3 separate regions of the Mus musculus genome follow, and all the other regions are reported to be linked to region 3. Evidence: microRNA targets listed by miRTarBase, many of them from high-throughput screens and not tested one by one. Region 3 holds a microRNA gene; each other region holds the end of a gene's coding sequence.

Region 1 (4,222 bases), not on the chromosome of region 3:
TTTATAACTACCACCACAGGCAAGATAGGAATTTGTTTCGTTTCAGAGACCTAGTGCTCTTTATAGTCATATCTAGCCACCTTCAGTTCTCTCAAATTCCAGACACACGCTACAACTAATCTAGTATATATTTGCCATTTTAAGCCTTTTAGGCAAATGTAATCTTATAGAATATGATCTTTTGAGATTGTGCCTTTTCACTTAGCCAGACCTCTAATAACTAAGTTCAAGCAATAGTTTTTTCCTTTTAGTGTTAATATTTTATTACATGAATATACCACTTTATCCATCTGTTGAAGGTATTTAATATTTTTAAATTTGTGGCTATTAAAAATAAAGGCATTTACATTGATATTTATTGTGGCATTGTTTACAAACAAGCTATGGAATCAGTATAGACATCGACCAAGTGGACAAACAAAATGTATATATTTACAAACCAGTTTTATTCAGTCATAAAAAGTGAAATTACCTCATTTGCAGTCAAAGGATAGAATTGAAGATGATCTTGTTAAGCCATTATAGGATCAGATGGATACTGCATGTGGGTCCATATTTTTTTTAAAAAGACATCAAAGTAGAAGGCTGATTATTTGAGAGGAAAAAGGAGGCCAACATACTATAGACACAGGCAATGGGTGATTTCCTTTCCTTAAGTGTGTCTGCTGTCTTTGAGGATGTGTGAAACCTGAATTAGGGTTTGTTTACTGGTAGTGTAGTGGATGAAGGGCCCAGGTTTCTGAGCACACTAGGAGAAAGCTGGGGGTCTTTTTGGTTATTTGGTTTCCCTCTTTCCCCTCACGTTCACCACTGAACTTCTCTGTCACTTCTTGACAGTGTGGCCTACCAACAGGCAATGGATGCTACAACACAAAGTGGATTGGTAAGACTTGTCTTGTTTCTTAAGAAACATAATGAAAACAAGATACTACGTTAATCACAAGGACCAACAGAATTAAGTGTTCATGAAAAAGATGTAGAATTAGTAATAAAAAGAAATACCACCATTTTAATTGCATTCTGTTGAATTTTGGAGTCGAACTTTTAGCATTTAGGAAATAGCACATTTAGATTGGTGTCAAATTCCCAGTTGACTTGATTTCTCTGTTCAACACATTAAGAAAAGTTGGACATGTTACAGAAGAACATTTATTTCATGTTTCAACAACTGATTTGTTACTTCAGTGTTTACTAGATTATGTTATATTTAATTAAATGTCAGGATCCAGTAAGCCTGCAGTAAACTACATTTGTCTGGCATCAGTTTACTCTGAATACTCTAGTGCAGGAACCATGATGGCCATCAGTGCAATGTTAGGCCTCCTTTGAGAAAATGAACATGTAGTAGTAATATAGCAGGGCCATCACATGGTTCTACAAAAACGGTAGTCTCCTAATGTGACAGTTTAGGACATGCAATAGTAAGCCTGTTCAGATTCTGGGAAACGCAGTTACAGCTCCCTCCTATATGTCAGGAGCTTTCTCAGTTCAGAAGCAGCTTACTAGTTAGGGTTCTTTTTGAGCCCCAAACACAACAAAGGTGGTCTGTTGATGGAGTGGTTATAAAACACCTAATTTAGAACACCTAGACCTAGGAGGATAATTGAAGTCAGCTGGAGAAAAGGGTAATAACATTTTCATTTTCTAAAACAAATAGTAGCTTCTTTCCCAAAGACAGGTAGGTGACTGAGCTGACAGGTAAAACTGTTTTAAGCCGATGATCCATTCCCTAAGCTCAATTTACTGGTGATGTTGGGAACTGTCACTATAATAAAGCATCATTATTAACCTGTCTCTCGGTCCTCCTCACCTCCAACTTTGTCTTACTGGATTCAGTGAGCCAGATGTGGAGGGTCCAGTTCAGAAGAGGGATGGGAAGGAGACAGCAGGGGTGATTCACCTCTCTTTAAGACTTTGACTACTGAGTAGATAAACAAGTCTATAGGCCTGAAGTCTATAACTGGTATGAAAGGTTAAGAACCTGATGAGGTCTGCAGACTAGTCTTCCCCAGAAGGCTGGCTTGATCTTGTGGGTTCTGTTCCTCACGTGAGGTAACCTAACAAAAGGGATGCTCCCTGACATCCTACCTGAAAGCAACCGTAAACCATATCTGCAAAGGGATGCTGTCACATACCTCCACTGAATGAAAGCCGATACTTTCTGTCATAGCAAGTTTATTATCTTACAGAATAATTTATGCAGGACTTTTGAAGACTGGCCATCATTTACTATATAACTTGCCATATGTTAGAATTAAAAAAATTCTTTTAAGCTTGAGAATAGCCAGATTTTCTATAGTTTATTCAACTAAGTAGACTACTGCTTTTATTTGTGAATTCTGAATAAAACTGAAGAACATAATCTAAAGTAGAAAAATAAAATCTTAGCAAAACTAAACTAGTGGATAGAAGTTATAATTCTAAGTGAACTTCATAGTTACAAAATTTTAAGTTAATGAACTTCGCAGTGCATATTGAAAGGATAAAAATGGAAATTAATGTTTTATATTAATTAGGAAGCCCAGTTTGCTAAAAGTAGCAGTATCATTCACATTAGATTTTAATTTTTTTCATACACCAAGAATGCCCTTATAATGAAAAGAAAAATCAGTGTCATTTGGAGAAAACTTGCTCTGTATAAAATAGGGAGCACAAAGAATTCTTTTAATATACCTACTGAATTTAGAAACAATTCTGATTTTGTAAGGAAGGGGTGGGGACATTCAAACACTAATAAAAAGTACTTAGTGTGAGCGTTTAAATACTTCTGCAGCTTTTCAATCCATTAGAACATCTCTGACTTCATACAAGTAAACCTTGAGCACAGAAGCAGCCAAGTTCAGTACCTTTTATGTATCCCTAAGCATTAAACTATCAAATCATTAGCAATTGAATTTGAAGAACATTACAAGTTTAAAAATGTAAGTATAGAGATGCCTGATTCTTTAAATTTCCACAAATACCCAACATCCGAAAGTAAGATGTAAATAGACCTCTGCTCTGCAGCAAGTCAATCCCAGCTGCTCCTAGACACGACTGGATCTATCACACGACTTCTGTGTCTACTGATATAACAATGATGTGATTAAAAAAAACCTATTCATTTAGTACAACTTAATGAGTTGAAGTACTTGTCTTCAGAAAAGCCAGCAGCAATTTAAAAAAATACACTTAAAGTAAGAGTTGGCTTAAGCCCTAAATTCCTTCCTGAACAGCCATGCAGCTAACACAATCCAATGTCACCTAGGGAGAAGAACATGGCACATATGCACTTTTCCCCTGGAAAACAGAAACAAGGCAAAGCAAATTCAGAGTTTTGTGAATGAACGGCTGTCATGTTTAATACACCTGGCGCTCTATAAAACTAGAGCCACTGTCATATATGGTTATATAGATATATACTTTTTAATAAATTCTCTTGCTTGCGTCAAAATTTAAGGATGATTTTTTTTTCCTGGTCAGTCATTTAAAGGGAACAATAAATAAAGTAGAAAATGATGAAATGTTTTGCATATTTCTGTGGAAGAACGGAAAACATTTATACTTTGAAAGGTTCAGAAAATTCACTGTACAGAATGAGCAGCTTATACACACTATCTGTGCAATTTTTCTTGGCTGGGTATTTAAATGCAAGAGCTTCTCCAAGACAAGTCAGTCATTCTTGTCCAAATCCCTCTGTCTCTTCTATTGCAAAAAGAAGTTTTTCCTTTAGTTGTTCATAACTCTTATATGGTGGTAGATCCAAGCGATTAAAACTGAACAAAAACAAAAACAAAATCAGATGTTTTCAATGAAATAAACTGACGATATTTGCAATATAGTATTCTTTAACAGTACATTGAAACCTGATTATGTATATAAAAACTTTGCCAAAGGTATCCTAACAATTTAATATAATAACTAGTATATTAACACATTTAAATTAAATAAACGAATCTATATAAAATTTAAGTCGTAAAACATCTATATATTTGCCAAAGAATAATGGTATTACAAATAATGTCAACATTATAAAGACTGAATTTAAAATGGGTTTCCTTTTGCTATTCTGTTGTCATGGGTGATGAGGTTCCATAATTTTTCTTAGGTTAGTTAATTACATCCATCCACTCATTCATTCATTTTCTGAGTTTTGTGTGCAAGATGTTCCAGTAGCTGGTAATACACTCATGAAAATCCTGAGTCCCTTAGCTCACAGAATTATGTTCTGATAGACTCAGTC
Region 2 (4,235 bases), not on the chromosome of region 3:
GTTTACCTCTAGTTCCAGGCTTAGTATCATTCCTCTTTCTCTGCTCCTGGTAGAATTTGGTGGTTTTTTTTTGTTGTTGTTGTTTATTTGTTTGTCTTGTTGTTGTTTAATTACAGAAAAATAGCTTACTTAATGAATGATTAAAGTGGGAGTGTTTAATCTATCCAAAGACTAAAGGCTTTCTATTGCATTTACATATCAATAGTGAATATGTTCTAAAATACATTCTTGGGCTTCGGATTAGATGACAACATTGAGAATAATGGTTGCATTTTTATAAAACAATTTCCTTTAGATTTTTAGTAGAGCTGTTGATAGTCAGGCTTTGATTAGTCATTATCCTAGTCCAAGGCACACAAAAAGGCTCCTCAGGGTCATTTAACAGCTGATGATCTGAGTAATTATCCCTAAAGTCTTAGAACCCCTCCAATAATACCTCCTCTAAGTCCTTCCATATTGACCTTTTTCTTTTTTCATTTCCCCCCCTAGACAAATAGTAGAAGGAACAGACTCCTTCAAAGTGACTACATGAACATGACTCCCCGGAGGCCTGGGCTCACTCGAAAGCCTTACCAGCCCTACGCCCCTGCCAGAGACTTTGCAGCGTACCGCCCCTGACAGGGACCCCTATCCAGAAGCCCGCCGGCTGGTACCCGTCTACCTGCTCATCATCACTGCTCTGGATAGGAAAGGACAGCCTCATCTTCAGCCGGCCACTTTGGACCTCTACTGGGCCACCAATGCCAACTATTTTAGAGTGTCTAGATCTAACATCATGATCATCTTGAGACTCTGGAATGAATGACAGAAGCTTCTATGGCAGGATAAAGTCTGTGTGGCTTGACCCAAACTCAAGCTTAATACATTTATTGACTTGATTGGGGAAGTTAGAGTAGAGCAATCAAAAAGATCATTCATTCAGCCTTGGGAAGTCAATTTGCAGGCTCCTGGATGAGCCCTGCCCCGTTTTCACTTGCCAGCACATTTCAGTCATGTGGTGTGATAGCCAAAGATGTTTTGGACAGAGAAGAAAGGATAGAAAAACCTTCTCTTTGGCTAAGTTGGTGTTTGGGGTGGGGATAGGTTAGAGTATAGTACTTAACTATTTGAAAAATAATGAAAACACTTTTTTCACTCATGAAATGAGCCACTTAGCTCCTAAATAGTGTTTTCCTGTTAGTTTAGAAAGTTGTGGACATATTTTTTTAATGATTTCTGACCATTTTTAATCACATTGACTCATGGAATGGCCTCAAAGCACCCCCCAGTGCTTCTTTCCTCATTCCCGGTCATGGGAACTCAGTATTATTAATAGTCACAACATGATTTCAGAACTAGATAGCCCTCCCACACCAAGAAGAATGTGAGAGGAAGTAAGGTCACTTTATGTAAAAAAAAAAAAAAACAAACGCGTACACATATGTATGTATACATACATACCTATGTGCACACACACACACATATACATACACACAAAATGCTATGAAGAGTTATCTGTTTAGTAGCCTGTTATAGTCAAATCATTTTAAGTTTCAACTTCTTACAGTTGGGCCACTTGTTGTCCTTTGTGGATGGATATCTGAAATTGTGTCTATATATTGCTAGTCATGATACTGTGAACAAAAAGGGTAGTGTTAGTATTTGTCAGGGTGGTAAGGATGCATTCCAGGAAGCTTCCTCTGAGGAAGGGAATGAGGTCATTCTTGCCATGTATGAAAGACATAGATGTTTTCCAGAAGGCACCATTGGGAGCCCCAGTATAAGTTCCTTTAGACTCTACAGTTTAGAGGGATTTTATATGTCCTAGGACTCAGGACTCCAGAACTTTGTGGGCTCAGCTGCTTCATACCATGGGGATACATTGACATGAACAATTATTTTGGAATGTGTCTTTAGGGACGACATCAAAGTTCTCAAGTACCTACAAGACCTGATACTGGAATGAAGGTGGACTTTCTTTTTTGCTTCCAGTTCGGATCAACTGGAATGTATCTGGGGACCTTGAAGAACGGCTGTCCAGCTGTCTTCACCATTTGTATAGTGCTTTGAATTATTCAGAGGTTTTAAAGTCAGGAAGACCTGGTTTAAAAAACATTTCATTATGAGTTAAATGGCCTCAGGCAAGTCACTGTTCATCCAAGTCTATGACTCCTCAACTGTAAGATGGCCACACTGAAACTTGCTAAGATCCTCTGGCCTCTGCCTCCCAAGAGTTGGGATTTCAGGAGTGCACAATCATGACCCAAACTCGTGATAATCTCTCAGCTTCAATAACTTTCCAGCTAATTGGAATATCCTGTAATCAAACATGAGGCATTTCCCCTCCCCCCACTGTTTTTGTGTATAAAGAGATCTTTAAACTTTTTTTTTAATATGAGGGGTAAGAAAAGATAGGAATCTTTTAATTCTAGACAGAAGATATTGTGCTTTGGTTTTTTTTTTTTTTAATGGCTTCTATTCTGTGCTTTTAATTAAACCAGAGAAGGCCAAGATTAGCCCTACTTGTGTGATAAAAGAATGCTGGCCCTTGTGATTGCAGTCAGCCTCTTGACACATAGAGTTCTTGAATCTAAGTTATAAAATTATATTTGAAAATGACAGAGCTGGAGAATTTATAGAAAGGGTCATAGCAAATAACAAACCATTTTTTTTTAAACGGAAAGATTTGGTCTTTGGCAATCAATAACTTTGTTTTCTAACTGGAAAAGGAGGTTTACTGGAGATGAATCACACCTGAAAGTTTTCATACCTCCTCTGAACACAACCGAAACATAGGTGTCCAAAGCCTTTCGCTCTCGGTATGAACCAACAGGCGGGTTAAAAACACTGGGTCAGAGTAAAGCTTTTGCAGTTTCAGATGTAGTGTGTATGAAGAAAACTATGTCACTTGCTGCTATTATTGTAAGAGTCTAAGAACTAAAGGTGTGCCTGTAATTTCTAATTATGAGCTCACCTATTTGGTACCGAGCATGCCAATTTTAAAGAGACCCGGTGTACCTTATAGCTACATCCAATGATAAAATTACCACACTAGCACATGCCTGTGTTTAAACTCGTGCTTTAATGTTTTTCTTAGGGCAGGTATGCACCCCCTTTGCAGTGAGTTGGGAGAGATTTTGAAAAAGTGTATGACAAACATTTTTAACACCTTTGGTTTCCTCTCTCTGTGTCTCTTTGTCTCTGTCTCTCTCTTTCTCTCCTGTGCATATGTCTCCCCTCCCTCACTTCTCTGTCTCTTCCTCTCTCCCTCTCTCTGTCTTTCTCTGTGTGTCTCTCTGTCTCTGTGTATCTCTCTGTCTGTCTCTTTCTCTGCAGATTTTCAAAACGTTGTTTTTCTATGGAAGAAATACAAGCTGTGGTTGGTTTGCTACGAGTCAGTAGCAGTTTATCAGTAGGCCAATGTTTTATCTCTTGGAGATTTCAGTCTGGGTTTACCCAATGTATTCTCTGTAATGTGACTGCTGGGGACAGATATAACTTGATTGAGCCTTCAAATCATTTAGGTCTTCAATCATTTAGTCAACGGAGTGAGCCACTAATCTGCAATGGCTATTTTAATATGCATACTGATGGTCAAATGGATGTCTGATCTCTCATCCCAGCTTTCTGTACTACCATATGGGAACTATATGTAACTTGTATACTTACCTGAATATGTTAAATTCAACTACATGGTAAGATGGACCAGAAATTGCAATGTTCATGTCCATATAGCCACCATTAACCCAAGTTAAGCACAGTAGTGTGGGTTCTCTCAGGACTTGTGAATGAGTTTATGCTCTCTACAAAGACAGGTGAAGCTTAAATCTCTCTTGCACTGCTATGTTTATGCAAATATCAAGATTGTTTCTGTACCAGGGACTTAACACATTCTATTCATACTATTTTCCCTGTCTACAATGTTATTTCATAGATATCTACTTGGTTTGCTCTTACTTCCTTGACATATTTGCCCAAATGCCACCTTCAACTGTAGTTAATTACCTGTACAACCTGTCTCCATGCCTTGTTTTATTTTCTCTATAACTCTACTAATAGGTATTTTTCTTATTTATTGGTTTATTGCCTGTTTTTTTTCCTAAATCTACACCGGATCTCCAAAGGGAAAGAACTCCATTTGCTTTGATTTTATTGCTGTATCCCCAGTGCCTAGAATAATGCTTAGCCTGCAATAAATATTTATTCATTGACTAGATGGATTTCACGTGGGTTTATGAGTTAGTGGCAAATCTGAA
Region 3 (4,248 bases):
CAACCAGGGCTCTTTAATTCTGGGCCCAAGGCTCAGAGAAGAGCTTGGGGTGCAGGTTCTAAGTGGAGGTTCCGGACAGCAGGAGGGGCTGGGTGCCAGAGCTCCCTAACAAAGTTTTAGGCTTAGGAGCAATGACTCTTGGATCCACTAGCCTTCACTGGGGACAGCTTTTACAATCTTTTAAATCTTCTTGGGTTTTTTGTTTTTTGTTTGTTTGTTTGTTTTTTGGGGGAAGCTGGGAACCGAACCCAGGGCTTTGCGCTTACCATTGAGCTAAATCCCCAACCCCATCTTTTAAATCTACAGAATTAAAAAAGGAAAAATTAGCCGGGCGGTGGTGGCGAACACCTTTAATCCCTGCACTCGGGAGGCAGAGACAGATGGATTTCTGAGTTCGAGGCCAGCTTGGTCTACAAAGTGAGTTCTAGGACAGCTTGGGCTATACAGAGAAACCCTGTCTCGAAAAACCAAAAAAAAAAAAAAAAAAAAAAAAAAGGAAAAATTGGCTTCTGAGCCCCCCTCTCGAAAATAACAGTCTCTAGCTCTTAGGGAGGAGGGCCAGAGAGTAGGGAGGAGTTGCGAGAGTGGGAGAGTGGGCTGAAACAGTGAGACTGGTATCGGCAAGTGGTGCCCAGGCATTTTTTCCACGCAACATGGCCGCCATTTCTGCCAACACACTTGGATTCCAGCTTGAGGAGCAGGAATGAGGGAGTCAGGGGCCTTGTTCCAATGGGGAGACTAGAGACAGAGGCGTGTGGGAGTGGAGGCCTTTGTCTAATGGGAAGGCTGGGGACCGAGGCCTTTATGGGAGGAGGCCATGGCTGCCTCCGTTGGATTCAAGACTGTGGGTCATACGGCTGGGAAGCACCACCCAGGATGTTGCAGTTCTAAAGATGGGGATGAGCCTTCTGGAGTGGCTGTGGTCTTTACCTGAGTGTCCCCGAGAAGGGAGAGAATAGGGTGGAAACCCGGAGGGGGTGGGGAGTGGAGGGAAGAAGGTTACAAAGAGGAAGTTGGGCGGGGGAAGAAGAGGCTCATCTGGCGCCATGTTGAGTCACCACCCACAAGGCCCAGGGCGGGCCCTCTAGGGGGCCACAGGCAGGGTGGAGCGGTCCCTGGGAAGTTACACGGAGGGGAGGGGGCAGGGGCCTTTATTAAAGCAGGAGTCGGCAAGAAAAGCAGGTGGCCTGAAGAATCCCCGTGGACAGACAGACAGTGCAGTCACCCATAAAGTAGAAAGCACTACTAACAGCACTGGAGGGTGTAGTGTTTCCTACTTTATGGATGAGTGCACTGTGGGCTTCGGAGACCACGCCACGCCGCGGCCCCCTGCCACCGTCCTCCACTCCAACATCAAGGAAACAGGTGAGCATCTCTCACACGCCCTCATTTGGCCAGGCTCCCCGAAAGACCTTCATGGCTCCCCCAAAGCACGGTGCTTCCTGACCCCTGATACTTGGGGAGACACCACAGCCGCTCTCTCGAATGCACGTCCGTGAGGATATGGGGTGGGGCCGGATGTGTGGGGCCTTGGTCCTGCATCGCAGGCCGACTGGGGGTTCGAGAAGGGAGCCGGATGGATGGGTAAGGGTCACGGGGCCCTCAACACTAATAAAGAATGGACTGGTTTCGCTTTTGTCTGACTCTGTTATTGGGGTTGTGTGAGTTCCCCGGATGCCCGGGAACAGAACTGACGCAGAAAGACAGGCTTCGCTGACATGAGCAGAAGACCTTGGCCTGACTAAGACACAGCCTGGGGGTGGGAAGGCTTGGGCCACCGGAAGTAGACTTTGTAGCAACGTGAAGAAAGGGTATGAGATGACCTCTACCTTTGGCTCTAATTTCTATGCTAGCTTCCTTTTACTCTCTATACCTCCAAAATGAAGACTGTTTGCCTCTCGTTTTGATCTAAGAAAGTCTATAGAGCCGTGGTTCTCAACCTTCCTGACTCTGCGACCCTTTAACACAATTCCTCATGGTTGTCGTGACCCCCCAACCATAAAATTATTTCCGTTGCTACTTCATATGTATAATTGTGCAACTGTAATGAATTGTAATGTAAATATCTGTGTTTTCTGATGGTCTTGAGTGGCCCTGTAAAAGGGTTGTCTGCCTCCCAAGGGATTGCAGCCCATAGCTTGAGAACCATTGGTCTAGAGGAACTTTTTTTTAAAAGAGATTTTATTATATCTAAGTACACTGTAACTGTGTTCAGACTCACAAGAAGAGGCCATCAGATCTCATTACAGATGGTTGTGAGCCACCATGTGGTTGCTGGGATTTGAACTCAGGACCTTTGGAAGAGCAGTTAGTGTTCTTGACCACTGAGCCATCTCACCAGCCCAAGAGGATCTTTCTTTCCTTTCCTTCCTCCTTTCTTTCTTCTCTCTCTCTCTCTCTCTCTCTCTCTCTCTCTCTCTCTCTCTCTCTCTCTCTCTCTCTCTCTCTCTCTCTCCTTTAATTTTTTGAGACAGGGTTCCTCTGTGTAGCCCTGGCTGTCCTGGAACTCACTCCGGACCAGACTGGCTCAAACTCAGAAATCTGCCTGCCTCTGCCTCCCAAGTGCTGGGATTAAAGGTGTGTGCCATCACTGCCTGGCTCCAAGAGGATTCTTATTAGTGTAAGAGTTGGGCAAAACCACGCTAGCACAGTGTGTGCCCACCTGCCTTGTACATGTCTACACAGGTCATTGGTGTTAATAAAACACACTTTCACCATCATGTGCATTTCATCAGGGCCTATACACCGATGCCAGCCACATGCATGAACTGTGACATATAGACAATGAGACGTGGCTGGTGTATCATATGGGTATACAGTCACCTAGGCCAAACACATGTTCATTAGTACTTACACATATAATGCCAAAGAATATACCCATTAGTGACATTCACATGTGGTGGCTTCATGTACATAAGACACTAACCGCGAGATCATCAAGATCTCTCTGGATTGCCACATTGATGAATTGAAAAACATTTAATTTGTGTGTGTGTGTGAATGCTGGTGAGTGTACCAATGTACTGTGGTGTGCATTTAGGGCCAGAGAACACCTTGCGTGGAGGAGTTCTCCACTTTGGCCACGTGGTTACTGGGGATCAAACTCCAGTGGTCAGGCTTGGTGGCAAATGTCCTACCCACAGAGCCATCCTATTGACTAGGATTGAAAAACAAAATGTGTTTTTGATTGCAAGCCAATTGTAGATGTAATTACAACCCCAGCAACTGGAAGAGGAAGGACCAGCTTGAGCTAAGACTCTTACCAGAGAGGAAGCTGTCTCTTTATAATGTATAGACTTTGCTTGTTATTCTTGTGATTTCCTCAATAGTACAGTACAATTATTTTAACATTCACATCGTATTATAAAATAGGTATAAACAATCTAGAGATGATTTAAGGCATGGGGGTGGGGTGGGGCTGGGCTGAGGATATGGTTTAGTGGTAGAGTGCTTGCCTAGCATGCAAGAGACCTTGGGTATACAGAAGGATGTGTATAAGCCATGGGCGGATATTTCATCACCTTACATAAAAGGACTTAAGCATTTGAGAACTTAGTGGGGTATCCTGAGATGATCTTATAGACAGTCCCCTTAGGCATGGAGGGGTGAGAATATATATACAGAGACTGCGTGCACATCATGCCAGGCAAGTTTATCATGTACATAGATCATTGTATGCCATTGTACATTATTATATGACAATGTATGTCATAATGTGTTAGTGCTGTATAATGGCATGATATCTGTGATTTATAGCAAAATGCAATGATAAACTCATACGTAATTGCATGCACATAGACATTGTAGCAAATAGACATACAATGACACAAAACCATGCACAGATATATATCCAATGAGATTCATAGACAAAATAGCACACATACATGCAGTGATCTCCATGTATACACAGACATACTATGCATACTCTTCTATACATACATGTAATATGACATGCATATGCATGCTGACTGAAAGTTACATGACATAGCATGTGTACTGATGTTTAGACTGCTTTAGAGAAATGAATGTTACCTTCTCTCTTATGCAACTCCAACCCCTACCCAGTTCCATTGGCTCTGGCCTGGGTGGAGCCTACTGTCTGGGTGGGGGGTGTTCTCTATGCTTTAGCTGCTATTCCATAGGGGTGCCACATGAGGGCCCTCGACCTTGGCTTGTCTTGCGTCTAGGAGCAACATTCTTATCTCTCGAGATCTAGGTGCCCCACATACAGGCAGACACCTAGGTTGG

What was found. Region 3 holds the annotated microRNA mmu-miR-142a-5p (CAUAAAGUAGAAAGCACUACU, at 1,227-1,247, shown strand). A microRNA usually pairs through its seed, bases 2 to 8, with sites in the 3' UTR of a target mRNA and lowers its output. Matches are read on the target gene's strand: a 7mer-m8 pairs with bases 2 to 8, a 7mer-A1 pairs with bases 2 to 7 and ends in A, and an 8mer does both.
Region 1: miRTarBase lists Wwp1 as a target of mmu-miR-142a-5p. Seed matches in the 3' UTR shown: 7mer-m8 at 3,483-3,489.
Region 2: the mRNA of Cd28 is a reported target of mmu-miR-142a-5p. Seed matches in the 3' UTR shown: 7mer-m8 at 1,382-1,388.

What each region holds. Positions count from the first base shown.
Region 1 is chr4:19,608,059-19,612,280 of GRCm38, forward strand. It overlaps Wwp1 (WW domain containing E3 ubiquitin protein ligase 1), which reads right to left. Exons shown (of 25, transcript NM_177327.5): 25 at 238-3,755. The coding sequence ends at 3,656. Among named protein-coding and RNA genes, the nearest start is that of Gm42259, 8.1 kb to the right of the region's middle.
Region 2 is chr1:60,769,168-60,773,402 of GRCm38, forward strand. It overlaps Cd28 (CD28 antigen), which reads left to right. Exons shown (of 4, transcript NM_007642.4): 4 at 490-4,192. The coding sequence ends at 618. Among named protein-coding and RNA genes, the nearest start is that of 2310016D23Rik, 7.2 kb to the right of the region's middle.
Region 3 is chr11:87,755,641-87,759,888 of GRCm38, forward strand. Mir142 (microRNA 142) reads left to right here and starts at 1,224; the gene lies at 1,224-1,287. Mir142b (microRNA 142b) reads right to left here and starts at 1,315; the gene lies at 1,201-1,315. It also overlaps a transcript of Tspoap1 not described here.